4 linked regions of the Saccharomyces cerevisiae S288C genome follow. The gene in region 3 interacts genetically with the main gene of each other region. Each region holds a gene or a part of one and is shown on either strand. Other genes may lie near its edges.

Region 1 (3,698 bases), on a different chromosome or scaffold from region 3:
TTGGAGGAATGTTGTTAGAGGTATTAACGGCCGCCGCTGGTAAAGAAAATTTAGTTAGCTCTTTTATAAAGTCAATCGAAAGATCCGACCTATCCAAATTACAATCGAAATTTACAAAAAGTTGCAAAAAGAAAGCGGGAGAGTGAATCCACAGTATTGAAAGTTGTTCAATAATTAATTCCCTGATTGCAGGTGGTTTTTGCTTACTAACGTCACCACTGATTGTGGTATCCTCTAGAATTTCGAATATTCTCCTTAAAGTCAGTTCAATCTGCATAGGCAAATAATCACCCAATATCACAACCAAACTCGTGAATAATTGTAAAGTTGCTTGCAAAAGAGAATACTGGGTAGAACTTTGTATAATGAATAAAACACTTTTAAATATTGGATCAGAAATTAAGCTGAATAACCGGGGATATAGAGGAAATTTGTCACCGGATATTTCAATGGCTGCATTGATTAACTGTAGAGATAATTTCATGGCCGAAGTTGTGTGCTTCATTCTATTCTCTGGCATAACCAGTGATAACAATAATCCAAGATAATCCTTTATAACTGTTATTCCGTAATTTGGCTCGACATTTTCGGCTTTCTCAGCCGTTTCCTCATCATTTTCCTGTTCCCTTATGACCTGTTGGACTGGCTTCTCATTTTTATTATCGTCTGCAACAGCACTGTCATCATCAGTGCTACTCAAATCGTTATCAGAGGTAGTCGTACCTATAATGTCATCCTTCAAATTATTGTCGGTGTAACTTTCATCATTGATATATTTTTCTGTTTTTGTAGGTGGATCTAGTAACTTCAACTTTGTAAATAGTTTAACGGTTATCCCTGCAATTGTAACTTCAGCCGTTTTCCTCAAAACCTCGCTTCTCTGCGTATTACATGCCAAGGAAAGTGTCGTTTGTAAAACATCGTAGATTATAGTATCGGAGAGATAGTCTCCAAAGGAAGAGGTTATAATATCGCGTAGTAATGTTACAACTTTTAATAAAACAGAGTCGTCCGAAATTTGCTTTGAAGCTTCAAATCTACAATGTGTAAGCGCAACAACGGTTTCCCTAACGGCAATTTGAATATCATTAAATGTTTTGTTTATGATTTTTAGTGTAAAAACTTTCTGCAACGAGTCCAGAGCCAGAGAAGTAGTATAACCCGATACTGAACTAGCGCTGACTATTTCTAAAAATGGTTTCAAAAGTTCCAAGGCGTTTAATGAATCTAAACCCTTCAAGTCGTTAATTTTTAGCCGCAGCTGTACTAAACCAGATATCAGAGGATCATGATAGCTAGAAGTAGGCAAATTGTGGAAGCTGTCAACAAACGAATCACTTTGACTCAAGAATATATCACTACCTCCGCCCAGCAACGCGGCCACACTTGTTTGTGATTTATCTCTGGACTGCTTGTTCATGGCAGAACAAAGATTGATGCACTCTTTGACAATCATCGTAGCTGGGTTCACGGCCAAAACAGTTTCCATTGGCACGTCGTGCATTTTGTATATGAAGCCGTATTAGTTAAACCTGGGCGCTTCTTACCAAAGTTGCGAATTAACTTAACTAAGATGGTTCAATTCTCTGTGTAAAGTATCCATATTAAAAGGTCTTAGTTCCAACATGTAAACAAAGAGATCTATATATTGTTTTTTTTCCAATGCGCTGAGTGATGAAGTGATTAGAAAATCATAAAAATGAGAAACTGCAAAGAAAAAAAAAGTCGTTATTCTGAAAGGTGTTCGGCAGCAACAACCTACATCCAACGCGATGATTCAAGATCCCCTTGTATATTTAGACATCTCCATTGATAAAAAACCAATTGGTCGTATTGTCTGCAAACTTTTTCGTGAGAAGGCTCCTAAAACAACAGAGAATTTTTATAAGTTATGCGCTGGTGATGTTAAGAGTCCTTTGAAGGATCAACAGTACCTGAGCTATAAGGGAAATGGTTTTCATAGAGTCGTTAAGAATTTTATGATCCAGGCAGGTGACATTGTCTTTGGGACACAAAAGGATTCCTCTTCATCGTCTGTTGGAAAAGGTGGATGTTCAATTTACGCTGATAAAGAGGAAGTGAAAACCGATGATGAATCTTTCTGTTACGGGAATTTTGAAGACGAAAACTTGGGAGAGTTTGTAGAACCCTTTACCTTAGGTATGGCCAATTTAGGTTCTCCAAATACGAACAATTCCCAGTTTTTCATAACTACATACGCCGCACCTCATTTGAACGGCAAGCATTCTATTTTTGGGCAGGTGGTTCATGGAAAATCAGTGGTTCGCACTATAGAAAACTGCAGGGTAGATTCTGATGGAGTCCCTGAATCAGACGTTAGAATCAGCGACTGTGGAGTGTGGGAAAAAACTATGGGTGTCCCGCTTTACAACGCTTCTAATGACCAAATTGGCGGTGACGTATACGAAGAATATCCAGACGATGATACACATTTCGGTGACGATGATTTTGGTAAGGCTCTTGAGGCTGCTAATATAATCAAAGAATCTGGGACGCTCTTATTTAAGAAAAAGGATTACTCTAATGCCTTTTTCAAATACAGAAAATCTTTAAATTATATCAATGAATACATGCCTGAACCCGACGTAGACAAAGAAAGAAACATCCAATTTATTAACCTAAAGATGAAAATTTACCTAAATTTATCTTTGGTGCTCTTTAATCTGGAAAGATACGATGATGCTATCATGTATGCTACGTATTTATTGGAGATGGATAACGTTCCTAACAGAGATCAAGCAAAGGCTTATTATAGAAGAGGTAACAGTTACTTAAAAAAAAAGAGACTAGACGAAGCTTTACAAGATTATATTTTTTGTAAAGAGAAAAATCCCGATGACGAAGTTATAGAACAAAGAATAGAATATGTCAATAGGCTCATAGAAGAGAATAAGGAAAAGACAAGAAAGAATATATCAAAGTTTTTCTCCTAATTAGTTACTTGTAAGGCTGAAATTTGAGATTAAATAACCCAATATGAAAACACTACATTAATAAGATGTAATTATTTTTATTTATAAATCCATTTATTTGATAAAAAATATGATATCATACAAAGTCATCTAGTAAGTTCTTGGTAATAGCAGATTTTTTTGGCTTCTGTGGCTTTTGTGATGAAAGATCATCTAATATGTCCTTAGAGAGTTTATCTTTCCTATTTTCTGAGTTGTCTGTTTCACCCACAGAGTCGTTTGGCGCTTTTGGAGTTAAATTCTCTTTATGCTGAGAATATGAAGGAGAGACGAACTCATCCAGTATACTTCTAGGTGCAGAAGAAGAACTTTGAGCGAGGGAATTTGAAGAAGTGCTATTTGGTGGTGGTTGCAAGAAGTCGTCTAATAAGCTATTTGGTAACTTTGGATTAGGTGACTCTATATCTGAAGCACTTGGCGAGCCAAACTTATCAAAAAGACTGGGCCTCATCCTAGCAGTAGAAATTGGTTCAGACGCCATGGCGCCAATAGCAGAATATGCTCTATCCTTGGTGGGGCTCTTTAATAGCTTCTGAACTGGTATGGAATTTCTTTCGATGAACTTCCAATTCTTCACAAGTGAAACCGCCAGGTAATTGCAACCCATTCGGCAAAGAATATCAGTAACTCTTAAGATCAGAGTACACTCGATTTTTGCTTCAACATTTAGAGATCCAATGAAATACTTCAAGTTTCTGTTTCTCA
Region 2 (3,800 bases), on a different chromosome or scaffold from region 3:
TGTCTCATCTCCCCCTGCTGGTCGCAATCCGAGTTTTGTTCCTTTAGGGATTCAGGCTTATTCAAAAATGCTAACCAATGATTCATATTCGGAGAAGTTTGTTGTATTCAACTATCCCATTCAAAATCCCAAACCGAGTTTTGCAATTCTTTCACTGGCAAATCTCTTTGTGTTCCTAATCTTAATATTGTACAATGGGCGGCTAAAGCGCGATACGCAAAAGAAATTTGTACATATACTCAAATTACTCATTAATACTTGGAACAAGATATAGTAGCCCTCTAAACATATACAACTAAATCTGGTAGACTTGCTGGCCGGCTACCCAAACTTTAGTGGTGTTGCGATCATCACCGTTAAAGAACCATTTTGCGATTATGTCTTCATTAGTAAGCAGCGGTGGGTTCTTATAAGGGTCTTGCCCTTGCTCTTGCTCTTGCTCTTGCATTTGATCCTTCTCCTTTAGCTGCCAATGAAACATATCCACGTTTGAGCCGGGAGCATTGGTATCGATCATTTGAGCGTCAAACTGCTTACCGACGTCAAAAGTCCCCAAGGTCTCATCCATACGCAAGACTTGTGCTCCGCCCATTGTAGCAAGAAATAGGCACTCGGAGACTGAAAGTTTTGCATGATCAGTTTCTCTCATTGCCAAATGCCTTGAAACTGCAAAGGCCTGCCTTCCGGTGGTGAGTATGCTACAAGAATGACCGGCTGAAACGTCGGTGCCTAGACCAACCTTTATGCCCTGGTCCAGCAACCATCGAACCCTACACTCTCCAGAAGTCAGAGAGGAGTTGGAAATGGGACAATGAGATATACCACAGCGACGCTGTTTAATCACACGCGCTTCGGCATCTGTTAGATGAATACAATGTGCCAATACTGTTTTTTCTGTGAGCAGCCCATATTTGTCGTATACATCAGTATAGCTCTCACATTCGGGAAATAAATCTTGAACCCACTGTATCTCCTCCTTATTTTCCGACAAGTGGGTTTGAACGTGTATGTTTTCATCCTTGACTAGCTTGGACAACTGTTGCATTAGTTCTCTAGAACAAGAGGGCGCGAACCTTGGTGTCACTATAGGATTTACGAGGGGATCACAAATGGTTTCCCGTATGTACTTAACAACTTTCACAGTGCTTTCAAAGGAAGTTTTAGTATCTTCAATATAATACTCGGGACCATTGGTATCCATGCACACTTTTCCAACAAGAACACGCTGCCCCAATAAGGAGCTTAGTTGAGCCAAGAGCTTAGTGGACTTGAGATCAATGGTATTATAGTAAGCCACAGTCGTTGTACCGTGAGAAAGCGTCTTACTTATTACCTTATTGTAAACTTCTCTCGCAATATTTTCGTTTGCTAGTGCGGCTTCTATGGGGAAGGTATACTTCTCTAGCCAATCCAGCAGGGTAGAATTCCCAAATACGCCGACATTTGGATATTGCGAGACATGGTTATGCGTGTCAACAAAACCTGGAAAATAAAAGCTGTTATTTCGAGTCTTGTCTTTTCCAATTATGTCAACCACCGTGACATCCTCTGGTGATAAGCTACTATCGTGATCTAAACAATCTTTGACAGGATCGAGTGAATTTCTGTTCACAAACCTGATGATTCCGTTGAGAACTCCAACAGATGTTTTCTCTCTGATTCTCAGCTCTCCTAATTTAGGGGTATCTACAAAGGTACCAAAAAAAACTAGAAACTTTCCATGTTTGTCGTTGAATTTATCAAATAATAAATCACTTTTTGTCATATCCTCTTCAAAGGACAGCCCAATTCATATATTCATTCAATAAAATGTTGTTCTTTTGCCAATGGCCTGTTTTAAAATCCTTATCTTGTCTCCTTTTATAATCCGAAACTATCCAAACTTCCGAGTGATAAATCGCCGGATAGGCATAAAATATGACTCGAGATAAGACCAACAAAGATAAGTACCTCGGTTTAGTTAAGCGATGTTAGGACTGAAAGGGTGTCTAACTATTCTTATTGGATACGTTATTGCTGTCTGTGCTTTGTTTTCCAGTAGGGGAAGAAATCCTTCATTAACTGATTGGGAAAAGTTAAAGGACCAGAAAATATCGAATATTGATAACTTTGGGTTGACCGGTCAACATCTTTTAGAATTTTTCCAGGAAAACTTGCCATTTCTAAGTTTTTCAGAGGAAAAGTATCGTCACAAACACGTTTCTTTATATTATGATGTATTCAAAGAATATATCTTACGTCGTGCCAGTTCAAAAAAGTGTTTACCAGTAGACTCTGCTATCGCAAAGTTGAACAAAGATGTTAACCCAATGCCAGTTCACTCCCATAATGACTACTGGAGGAAACTTCCGCTTTTTGAAGGTCTGGCCTATGGTGCTAGTAGTACTGAAGCCGACGTGTGGAATATAGATGAAAAGATCCTAGCTGTGGGTCATAATGAAGCGTATTTGGACCCAGTTGAATTGACATTAGACAAGCTATACACTGGCCCCCTCTTGGAGATTTTAGACGAGGTGAATTGCCAAGATTCAGACGCCGATCGCAAAAATGGTGTATTTTTCAACTCTCCAGAAACTTCACTCTTCTTTTATATTGATTTCAAGTCGGATGATAACGAACTAACTTATAAACTGCTGATGGAGCAATATTTCAAATCTCTGATTGATTCTGGATATTTGACATATTACGATATGAAGAAGGATGAAATTATTTGGAGACCTGTTACTGTGATACTAACGGGCAACTACCCGACGTCATTGGATATTTTAGACAATGGAAATGATAACGGCTATTTTGAGTCAAGTCAAAGGTTTGCATTTCTAGATGCGCCGTTGTTAAGTTTGGAGCCCAAATACTCAAAGCTATCTGTAGCTGCGACGGTTTCGTTCAGCCAATTAATGAAACATTGTGGTTCTGATCATTGGAAAGTATCGCTAAGAGGTCGTATGGATTCGAATGAGATCAGTTGTGCTAAAAGCATAATTGATGGTGCTCACGCATTGAAACTTAAAACAAGAATTTGGGGAGCCCCAACCTGGCCAGCTAACCTGGTGGAAACTATTTCTCGCCAAATTATTCATGACTTGGGTTCCGATTTACTTAACCTGGACAATTTATTCATGGCATCGTCATTGATATAAGTGGCTTGAGCTGTGGATAAGAAAAGCCATATATTTATATAAACATTTAGATATGAATAGGAAGTAGATTGTTCGACGCAACTACCCGTTCAAGAAGTATAATGGGGAATGGTCTCATCTTCCCTCACAGGATATAGTTCTCTGAAGAGATACATACGTTTGTGTATACTATGCTTCTTTATCAACTCAAGTTTTGTAGAGGAAGACGTTGAAGATGGTGATGTGACATCTTTACTATTCTCCAGCACGTTTTCAGTATTTACTTAATCGTATATTAATGACGTCCCTTATCTATTAACTTTCCGGTTTTTCTTTTTTTCGGTGAATGTTCTTTCCGTTTTAGTGAATTTTTCAATTGTAATTGACGCAATCGGTTTATAACAAGCAGACATAAATATCAAGCTCGAGCCAAATCACAAAAAAAGCCTTATAGCTTGCCCTGACAAAGAATATACAACTCGGGAAAATGACTGCTCAACAAGGTGTACCAATAAAGATAACCAATAAGGAGATTGCTCAAGAATTCTTGGACAAATATGACACGTTTCTGTTCGATTGTGATGGTGTATTATGGTTAGGTTCTCAAGCATTACCATACACCCTGGAAATTCTAAACCTTTTGAAGCAATTGGGCAAACAACTGATCTTCGTTACGAATAA
Region 3 (3,580 bases):
AAAAATTTAAAATGATTATGGCTATGACGATGTTTTGTTTGTATAAATTCGACATTGAAAGTGAACAATATAAAGAGGCAGTTCTAACTATGATTGGAGTTCTCTCTGAAAGTAGCGATGGCGTACCAAAACTAACCGTAGATACAAATAATGATTTGCGGTACTTATGGGACTATGTTACAACCAAATCGTATATATCTGCGTTGAACTGGTTCAAAAATGAGTTTTTTGTTGATGAGTGGAATATCGCGGATGTGGTAGCCAATTCCGAGAACAACTATTTTACAATGGCAAGCGAGCGAGATGTTGATGGCACATTCAAATTAATCGAATTGGCGAAAGCCTCGAAGGAATCGTTAAAAATCATCCCGCTAGGGTCTATAGAAAATCTAAACTATGCTCAAGAGGAAATATCAAAATCTAAGATAGAAGGTGGTTGGATATTATTACAAAACATACAAATGTCGCTATCATGGGTGAAAACGTATCTGCACAAGCATGTTGAGGAGACAAAGGCGGCAGAAGAACATGAGAAATTCAAAATGTTCATGACATGCCATTTGACTGGTGATAAACTACCTGCCCCATTGCTACAAAGAACTGATAGATTTGTGTATGAGGATATCCCAGGTATACTAGATACCGTCAAAGATCTATGGGGTTCTCAATTTTTCACTGGTAAAATTTCAGGAGTATGGAGCGTGTATTGTACCTTCCTATTGTCATGGTTTCATGCCTTGATCACTGCCAGGACCCGATTGGTTCCTCATGGGTTTTCCAAGAAGTATTACTTTAATGATTGCGACTTTCAATTTGCCTCAGTGTATTTAGAGAATGTATTAGCCACCAATTCTACCAACAACATTCCTTGGGCACAAGTGCGAGATCACATAGCTACGATCGTATACGGAGGAAAGATCGATGAAGAGAAAGACCTTGAAGTGGTCGCTAAACTTTGTGCGCACGTATTCTGCGGCTCGGACAATTTGCAGATCGTTCCTGGGGTACGAATCCCACAGCCTCTTCTTCAACAAAGTGAAGAAGAGGAACGGGCAAGGCTTACTGCCATACTGTCTAATACGATTGAGCCTGCAGATTCACTCAGTTCATGGCTTCAATTGCCAAGGGAATCTATTTTGAATTACGAACGTCTTCAGGCTAAAGAGGTGGCTAGCTCAACTGAACAACTTCTTCAAGAAATGTAGCCTTTTCAGGTACGCGTGTCTTGCTTGTCCGCGGTTTTCTCAGTGGACGTGCCTATTCTGGGTTCCTCTTGTTTGATGAGACTCTGATATCTACAATCCAAAAAAATCGGTTGTAGGAAGATGGCGTGCTTCTAATTAAAGTAACGTGGGGACTCTTATTTAGATACTTCCTAACTACGAGCACGTACGTCTAGAATTCATGTTATATAACATAATGATTTTTCCTTATTTTCTTAGTTTTTATCAGCCTTGCCTTGGCTTCCTTCTCAACATCTAGTTGAATTGATAACATGACAAAAAGAAGTTAGGCAGTGGTAGTCTTCAAAAAAATATACAAAATAGCAAGCCTGTAAAAGAATTTAATTATGACCATTATTCAGACGGTTACTGAATTGGGTGTTACCGAGGACACCATTAAGGTTCAGATGGCTCCTTCCGGCGGCAAACACCTATTGGCAGATCCCGGTAATCATCCAGCGGAGCATTTTGAGAGCCAGATGTCGTGGCTAAGGTTTCAAACAAGGCAGTATCTAACTAGATTCACAGACAACCAATCAGATTTCGTACATTCTTTACAAAAAAAGCACAGAACGCCTTTTAGAGACGTTTATTTCAAATACACTTCGCTTATGGGTTCCCACATGTTTTATGTTATCGTGCTTCCCATGCCTGTGTGGCTTGGATACCGCGATTTAACACGGGACATGATCTACGTTCTTGGTTATTCAATTTATTTGAGTGGCTACTTAAAGGATTATTGGTGCCTACCAAGGCCAAAATCACCGCCAGTTGACAGAATCACACTAAGTGAATACACTACGAAAGAATATGGTGCACCCAGTTCACATTCTGCTAACGCTACTGCGGTAAGTCTATTATTCTTTTGGAGAATATGTTTATCTGACACACTGGTATGGCCAACAAAGCTTCTTTTACTGAGTCTGGTGATATTTTACTACTTAACCCTGGTTTTTGGTAGAGTTTACTGCGGTATGCATGGTATGCTGGATTTATTTAGCGGCGCCGCAGTTGGAGCTATCTGTTTTTTTATAAGAATCTGGGTGGTGCATGCTTTACGAAATTTCCAGATTGGTGAACATCTCTGGTTTCCCCTTTTGAGTGTAGCATGGGGCTTGTTTATTCTGTTTAACCACGTCAGGCCCATTGATGAATGTCCTTGTTTCGAAGATAGCGTAGCGTTCATTGGCGTAGTCAGTGGGCTGGATTGCAGCGACTGGTTAACCGAAAGATACGGATGGAACCTTGTATGTAGTAGGTACGCATCATGTGGTTCTAAGGTGTTCTTGAGGCCTCTGGTAGGTGTCGCTTCTGTGATTGTTTGGAAAGACGTCATTAGCAAGACAGCTGTCTACACGCTGTTAATTAAACTACTCAGATTTCACGATGATAGAAGCGAAAAGGTTCATTTCCATAACGAGACAAGTGAAGAAGAAGAGTGTTTATTGTACAGCGGTGTTTCCAAAGTGGAAATCGTCGGAAGGTTTCTCATATACGCAGGTATACCTACAACCGTCTTTTTGCTATGCCCAGTTTTTTTCACTTGGACAAACTTAAGGTAGACTCTCGTATGTATGCATTTAGTGACTTATACATATATATTGTATCTACATAACACATCATTGAAATTCACCCCGATGAGTACATATTTGGAATTCAGCATTTTTTTTTTCTCGCTTTTGATAGCCAGCCCATCTATGGTGCTTACTAATGTATAGAGAGGATATAACAATGAAAAATCAAGATTTCAGGCATGAGTCAAGACTTTAGCTCTTTTATATACCTTCAGGATGTTCGTACCATGCGTCGCAGGCCCTAGATCGGCGTTTTGGGTTTTACACATGCATGTTTGCCGTGGTTCACCCTCTTTTAACCCACAGGAATCGCTACTTTGACACCCCCGATCGTGTCTCTTTTCGGTATTTTGGCACCCTTTCTTGAATGAGAGCATGGCGAAGACTGAAAGGCAAGAACACCCTGCTATCTTTTGCCTACCATTGGCGAACGTCATCTTATCTAAGTAGTAAGCTGTATATAAAGATATTTGGAGGTTTTATTGGAATCTCATAGAATTTTCACTTTATCAGAGGTTTATTGACGAAGACTTTCGTGAGAAGTACAAAGTGAAGAAGTAAAAAACTCAACCGAAATATCAGTTAATATTATGAATACTTCAGAACTGTCAATAGCTGAGGAAATCGACTACGAAGCTCTTCCATCACATGCTCCGCTACATTCCCAGTTACTGGCAGGAGCATTTGCAGGTATAATGGAGCATTCTTTGATGTTTCCAATAGATGCTCTGAAAACCCGAGTGCAGGCTGCAGGATTGAATAAAGCTGCCTCTACAGGGATGA
Region 4 (4,428 bases), on a different chromosome or scaffold from region 3:
ATGGGTGCAAAATCCAAGACCTTCAGCTCGAACCCTTTTGATGATAGTAAAAATACAGACACTCATCTCGAAAACGCTAATGTTGCTGCCTTTGATAATTCCAGATCTGGAGACACTACATACTCCAAATCAGGGGATGCTGAAACAGCTGCTTACGATAATATTAAAAATGCGGACCCTACATATGCCAAATCACAAGATATTACTGGAATGACTCACGATCAGGAACCATCATCAGAACAAAAGGCCAGTTACGGTTCTGGCGGCAATTCCCAAAATCAAGAATATTCTAGCGACGATAATATTGATGTCAATAAGAATGCGAAAGTTTTAGAGGAAGACGCACCGGGCTACAAGCGTGAAGTAGATTTGAAGAACAAACGTAGAACCGACCTTGGTGGTGCCGACGCCTCAAACGCTTATGCTGCCGAAGTTGGTAATTTCCCTAGTTTGATTGACCCACATGTCCCAACATACGGATTTAAAGACACCAACACCTCTAGTTCTCAAAAGCCATCTGAGGGCACCTACCCAGAAACCACTTCCTATTCAATTCATAATGAAACAACTTCTCAGGGAAGGAAAGTGTCGGTGGGTTCAATGGGTTCCGGAAAATCAAAACATCATCACAATCATCACCGTCACAGCAGACAGAATTCTTCAAAAGGGTCTGACTACGACTATAATAATTCTACTCATTCAGCCGAGCACACTCCAAGACATCATCAGTACGGTTCCGATGAGGGTGAGCAAGATTACCATGACGACGAGCAAGGTGAGGAACAGGCTGGTAAACAAAGTTTCATGGGTAGAGTGAGAAAAAGTATTTCTGGCGGTACTTTTGGATTTAGGAGTGAAATTTAAACACTTCTCGATTAACAAATTCCCAGTATTCTTTGAAATCTATTTTTCTTCCTCAATTGAATTTGAATAACTGTCTACGCGGACTCCTCCTATCTACAACTACAACAAATTTTAACCACTTTATTACCACTTTCCTCTTTCATTTATTTTTGTCTTTTATGTTGTCAATTTACTAGTATTTTTTTTTTTTTCATTTACGTTCAAGGTTTTTTATACTCATTTAACTTGTCTTAGGTTATTTATATATATACCTATATATTTATATATATATATATATATGTATGTATATATTATTATCACCAAATGAGAAATAATAGCTAATTTGATTTTTGATTATTTAAAATATTGGTTTGTTCTTTCTGCAAACATCTCGTTTGGTACGATATTAGTGAAAAACGATGTAATTATCAACACGTGCATTACCCAGCGTTATATTTTCATTACCCGGACGTGGTGTTTTTTGTTTTTTAATGTTTCTTAGACTTAAAGAGGAATGGAATGGTTATTTGGATTAAATCATAGAAAAGTACAATTAAGGTTACGGCAGGAGCCTCGAACCGGTAGTTTTACAGAAAATAGACCCATCTGGTGGCAACACTAAATCATTGAAATAATAGCAAACAATTGTTTCAAAACTCCTCCCATTTGGATCTCATCTCAATTGTTTTTTCCTTCTTAGTTAAAAGTTCACGAAATTAGGAAATCTAAGAATCAAAATATAATCCGCTGTTATTTCTGCGTGTAAAGGTTTATCTTCTACTTGTGTCATATTTCACAAATTATCACTTTGCTAAAACAAGGGACTGACTTCTTTCTTTATTTTTCGAGCATTTTTCAAAAAAGCAGGGTTTTTGAAAACAGGAACCTTAGTTGCCACATCTACGCTGAAAAATAACGCTTAAGGTTTCTCAATTAACAATGTCATTAGTGCATAATCAGACGAATTTAAACGAATCCAAATTTCTTATAGAAAGGGCATTTAGTTCTAGTTCAGAAACCGTTCCATTATCAAAGGAGGCAACATATCCCATGCCAACTGCATATAGTTTTTCCGCAGTTAGGAGCAACAGCGAGACTAACATTAAAAGAGAGAACCCGCAAGGTTTTGCAAAAGAACCTATTATGACTTCTATGCTTCATAATTTGACCATGTCCACGGGGAAAGGGAACGGGAATGACGTCAATTCTTTAGCCCCACATGATGTGGATGTTGGCCCCTACTGTCTTTTGCTGAGGAATTTGCCAAAAGACATTACACTAAGAGAGTGTTATTGTATATTTTCACTAGCAACTGGGGTGTCAAGTATAGAACTAAAAAGGGATGATAGAGAACCCTTTAATGACAATGAAAAAGTCGTTGTGGTCAAATTTGGATCCCTTTCTTTAGTAACCCATTATGCTAATATATTAAACTCGAAGTCTGAGATTTTTGGGCCTAGTTTCCCCTTTAGGTCTCACATTGACGTAGTAAATGAACAAACGCAGCTTCCAGTGAGTTTTCAAGAACATGTTTCATCTGGCACTACAAATAGTTCTCCAAAGAATTACCAATTGTCGTCCAGTGCGCAAAATGAAATTCAAAATCAAAGTTTTAATACTATATCATATGGAAAAACTAGTTCCTCTCCATTAGGGCCTTCAGCGGCCAAGCCAAGGCCTTCATTACTTTCAGAGAGATCCCTCCGTTTCTCATTCAATGACCCATTCGGATTGGAAACAATCTCTCAAAGAAAAGAATCCGTACCCTTTCTACGAAATAGCATCTCACAACATGATTTATCAAACGTAACCACCACACCAGTTCCAGCAGGAATGCCACCTCAGAAGGACGCTGGCAAGTCACTTTTGCTACTAGAAAAGGATGAAATAAATGAAAGTATTTGGAATGGTGATGAATTAGTTAATGATGTTGGTAATTCTTCATTTGGTGCATCTTTACAAGAGCCTCCGATGTCATCTACGCCTGTGATGGAGTGGAATGCTTCCTCAACTGCTAATATTCCTCTTTTTCAATTATCTAGCCAAGAAAATCATCAGTCTAATCTGTTGCCTCCATCCCACCATTCAATTAGCCAGGATGTTCCACATATTCAATCACAACCTAATCTGAACAATTCAGGAGTAATACATTCCGCGACTTCTCTACCGCATTATCACTTATTGAACCAAATTAATGCTTCAACTAAGACACAAAGTATTCAGCAGAGCGTTTCGAATGTTCCTTCCAATTTGGACCTGAATCTCCAAACGGAAAATGGCCACCCACAATCTTCTGCTCCTAACGGGTCTTCAATATTCAACAACCAAAAGGTGAATCAAGGCTTTTTAGTGAGTGAACAAGACACCAGTACAATATCACGACAGAAAGAATGTTCTTCTACAGCTTCTGCCTCTGCATTTTCGAAAAATAACGAAACAAATGTGGCAGGTTCCACAACTATTTCACAGGCTGACCTATCACTACTAGCCAAGGTGCCACCACCAGCCAATCCCGCGGACCAAAATCCTCCTTGTAATACTCTTTATGTGGGTAATCTACCTCCGGATGCCACGGAACAAGAATTAAGGCAATTGTTTTCTAATCAGCAAGGTTTTCGTAGATTATCCTTCAGGAATAAAATGAACTCTCACGGTCATGGCAACGGTCATGGCCATGGTCCAATTTGTTTTGTAGAATTTGAGGATGTTAGCTTTGCCACTAGAGCATTGGCAGAATTATATGGTAGTCAACTACCTCACCCCCGCCCTTCCCTCAACAACAAAGGAGGTATCAGGTTGAGCTTCTCTAAAAATCCATTAGGCGTTAGAGGCTCAAACAGTAGGAGTAAATCTGGTTACAGCTTTAATGGAAGTTACGGGAAATCATGATAGATTTAGTATTGCTTTATTAATTTTCTTTTGCTTTACTTTCTGACCTTCGTTTTTACTTTTTGGATTTTGCAGTTTTTTCATGCTCTACTTATTTAGTTTATGCCATATTTAAATTTATCCCTACAATTATTTGACACTGTTTGTATGTGTGTTCCCTTCTTGAAGGCTGTGCTGAGGAAACTTTGTAGTTGGTACATAAATTTTTGATCAAAAGTAAAAATACCCCCGTTCGGTAACTTATACATTTATTTATTTATTTATTTGCTCAGCTTTGGATTTTGTACAGATACAACTCAATCTCTACCCGATGCAATAGAGGCTAAATCAGTATACGTGTCATTTTTTTTAATTTGGCTCCTTGTGCTCTGTTGTAGAGAATTGATTGAAGATGATGAACCGTTTAGTTTATTCTGATTTATTAGTTTTTCCCTCAATTTCAATTCGTGTGCTTTTCTTTCTAATTCTTGAATTCTTTTTTGTAATTCTTTAGCTGACTGGGCCTCTAACTCTTCCAGTTTTTGTTGTCTTGCTAAAATTCTTTCATGTCTCAAGACATATGGAACGGTTTCTGAAATATTTCTTAACTTGGTACGCTCTGGTAAGTCCGGAGAGTTCAAGAATTTTGGTGAAGATTCTGTTTTGATAGATCTTATCAAATTTTCATTTTCTTGTTTTATTTCTCTACCCAACTGT

The links.
Region 1: mutations in YSR3 (region 3) and CPR7 together harm fitness more than expected from each alone (negative genetic interaction), as found in Saccharomyces cerevisiae (2 studies listed by BioGRID).
Region 2: mutations in YSR3 (region 3) and AIM6 together harm fitness more than expected from each alone (negative genetic interaction), as found in Saccharomyces cerevisiae (2 studies listed by BioGRID).
Region 4: mutations in YSR3 (region 3) and WHI4 together harm fitness more than expected from each alone (negative genetic interaction), as found in Saccharomyces cerevisiae (2 studies listed by BioGRID).

Annotation. Positions count from the first base shown.
Region 1 is NC_001142.9:489,309-493,006, forward strand, and holds CPR7 (peptidylprolyl isomerase CPR7), read left to right. Parts: upstream 1-1,772; coding exon 1,773-2,954; downstream 2,955-3,698. Other genes in the region: Arf family guanine nucleotide exchange factor GEA1, read right to left, coding at 1-1,504; RAV1 (Rav1p), read right to left, coding at 3,070-3,698. UniProt on the Saccharomyces cerevisiae protein: PPIases accelerate the folding of proteins. It catalyzes the cis-trans isomerization of proline imidic peptide bonds in oligopeptides. Plays a major role in negative regulation of the heat shock transcription factor (HSF).
Region 2 is NC_001136.10:28,690-32,489, forward strand, and holds AIM6 (Aim6p), read left to right. Parts: upstream 1-1,967; coding exon 1,968-3,140; downstream 3,141-3,800. Other genes in the region: ADY3 (Ady3p), read right to left, coding at 1-86; GUD1 (guanine deaminase), read right to left, coding at 296-1,765; PHO13 (4-nitrophenylphosphatase), read left to right, coding at 3,607-3,800.
Region 3 is NC_001143.9:533,272-536,851, reverse strand, and holds YSR3 (sphinganine kinase YSR3), read left to right. Parts: upstream 1-1,570; coding exon 1,571-2,785; downstream 2,786-3,580. Other genes in the region: DYN1 (dynein heavy chain), read left to right, coding at 1-1,205; MRS4 (Fe(2+) transporter), read left to right, coding at 3,388-3,580. UniProt on the Saccharomyces cerevisiae protein: Dihydrosphingosine 1-phosphate phosphatase required for efficient ceramide synthesis from exogenous sphingoid bases. Involved in endocytosis and calcium-mediated signaling.
Region 4 is NC_001136.10:53,701-58,128, reverse strand, and holds WHI4 (Whi4p), read left to right. Parts: upstream 1-1,782; coding exon 1,783-3,732; downstream 3,733-4,428. Other genes in the region: HBT1 (Hbt1p), read left to right, coding at 1-864; septin SHS1, read right to left, coding at 4,029-4,428. UniProt on the Saccharomyces cerevisiae protein: Has a partially redundant function to WHI3, a dosage-dependent modulator of cell size.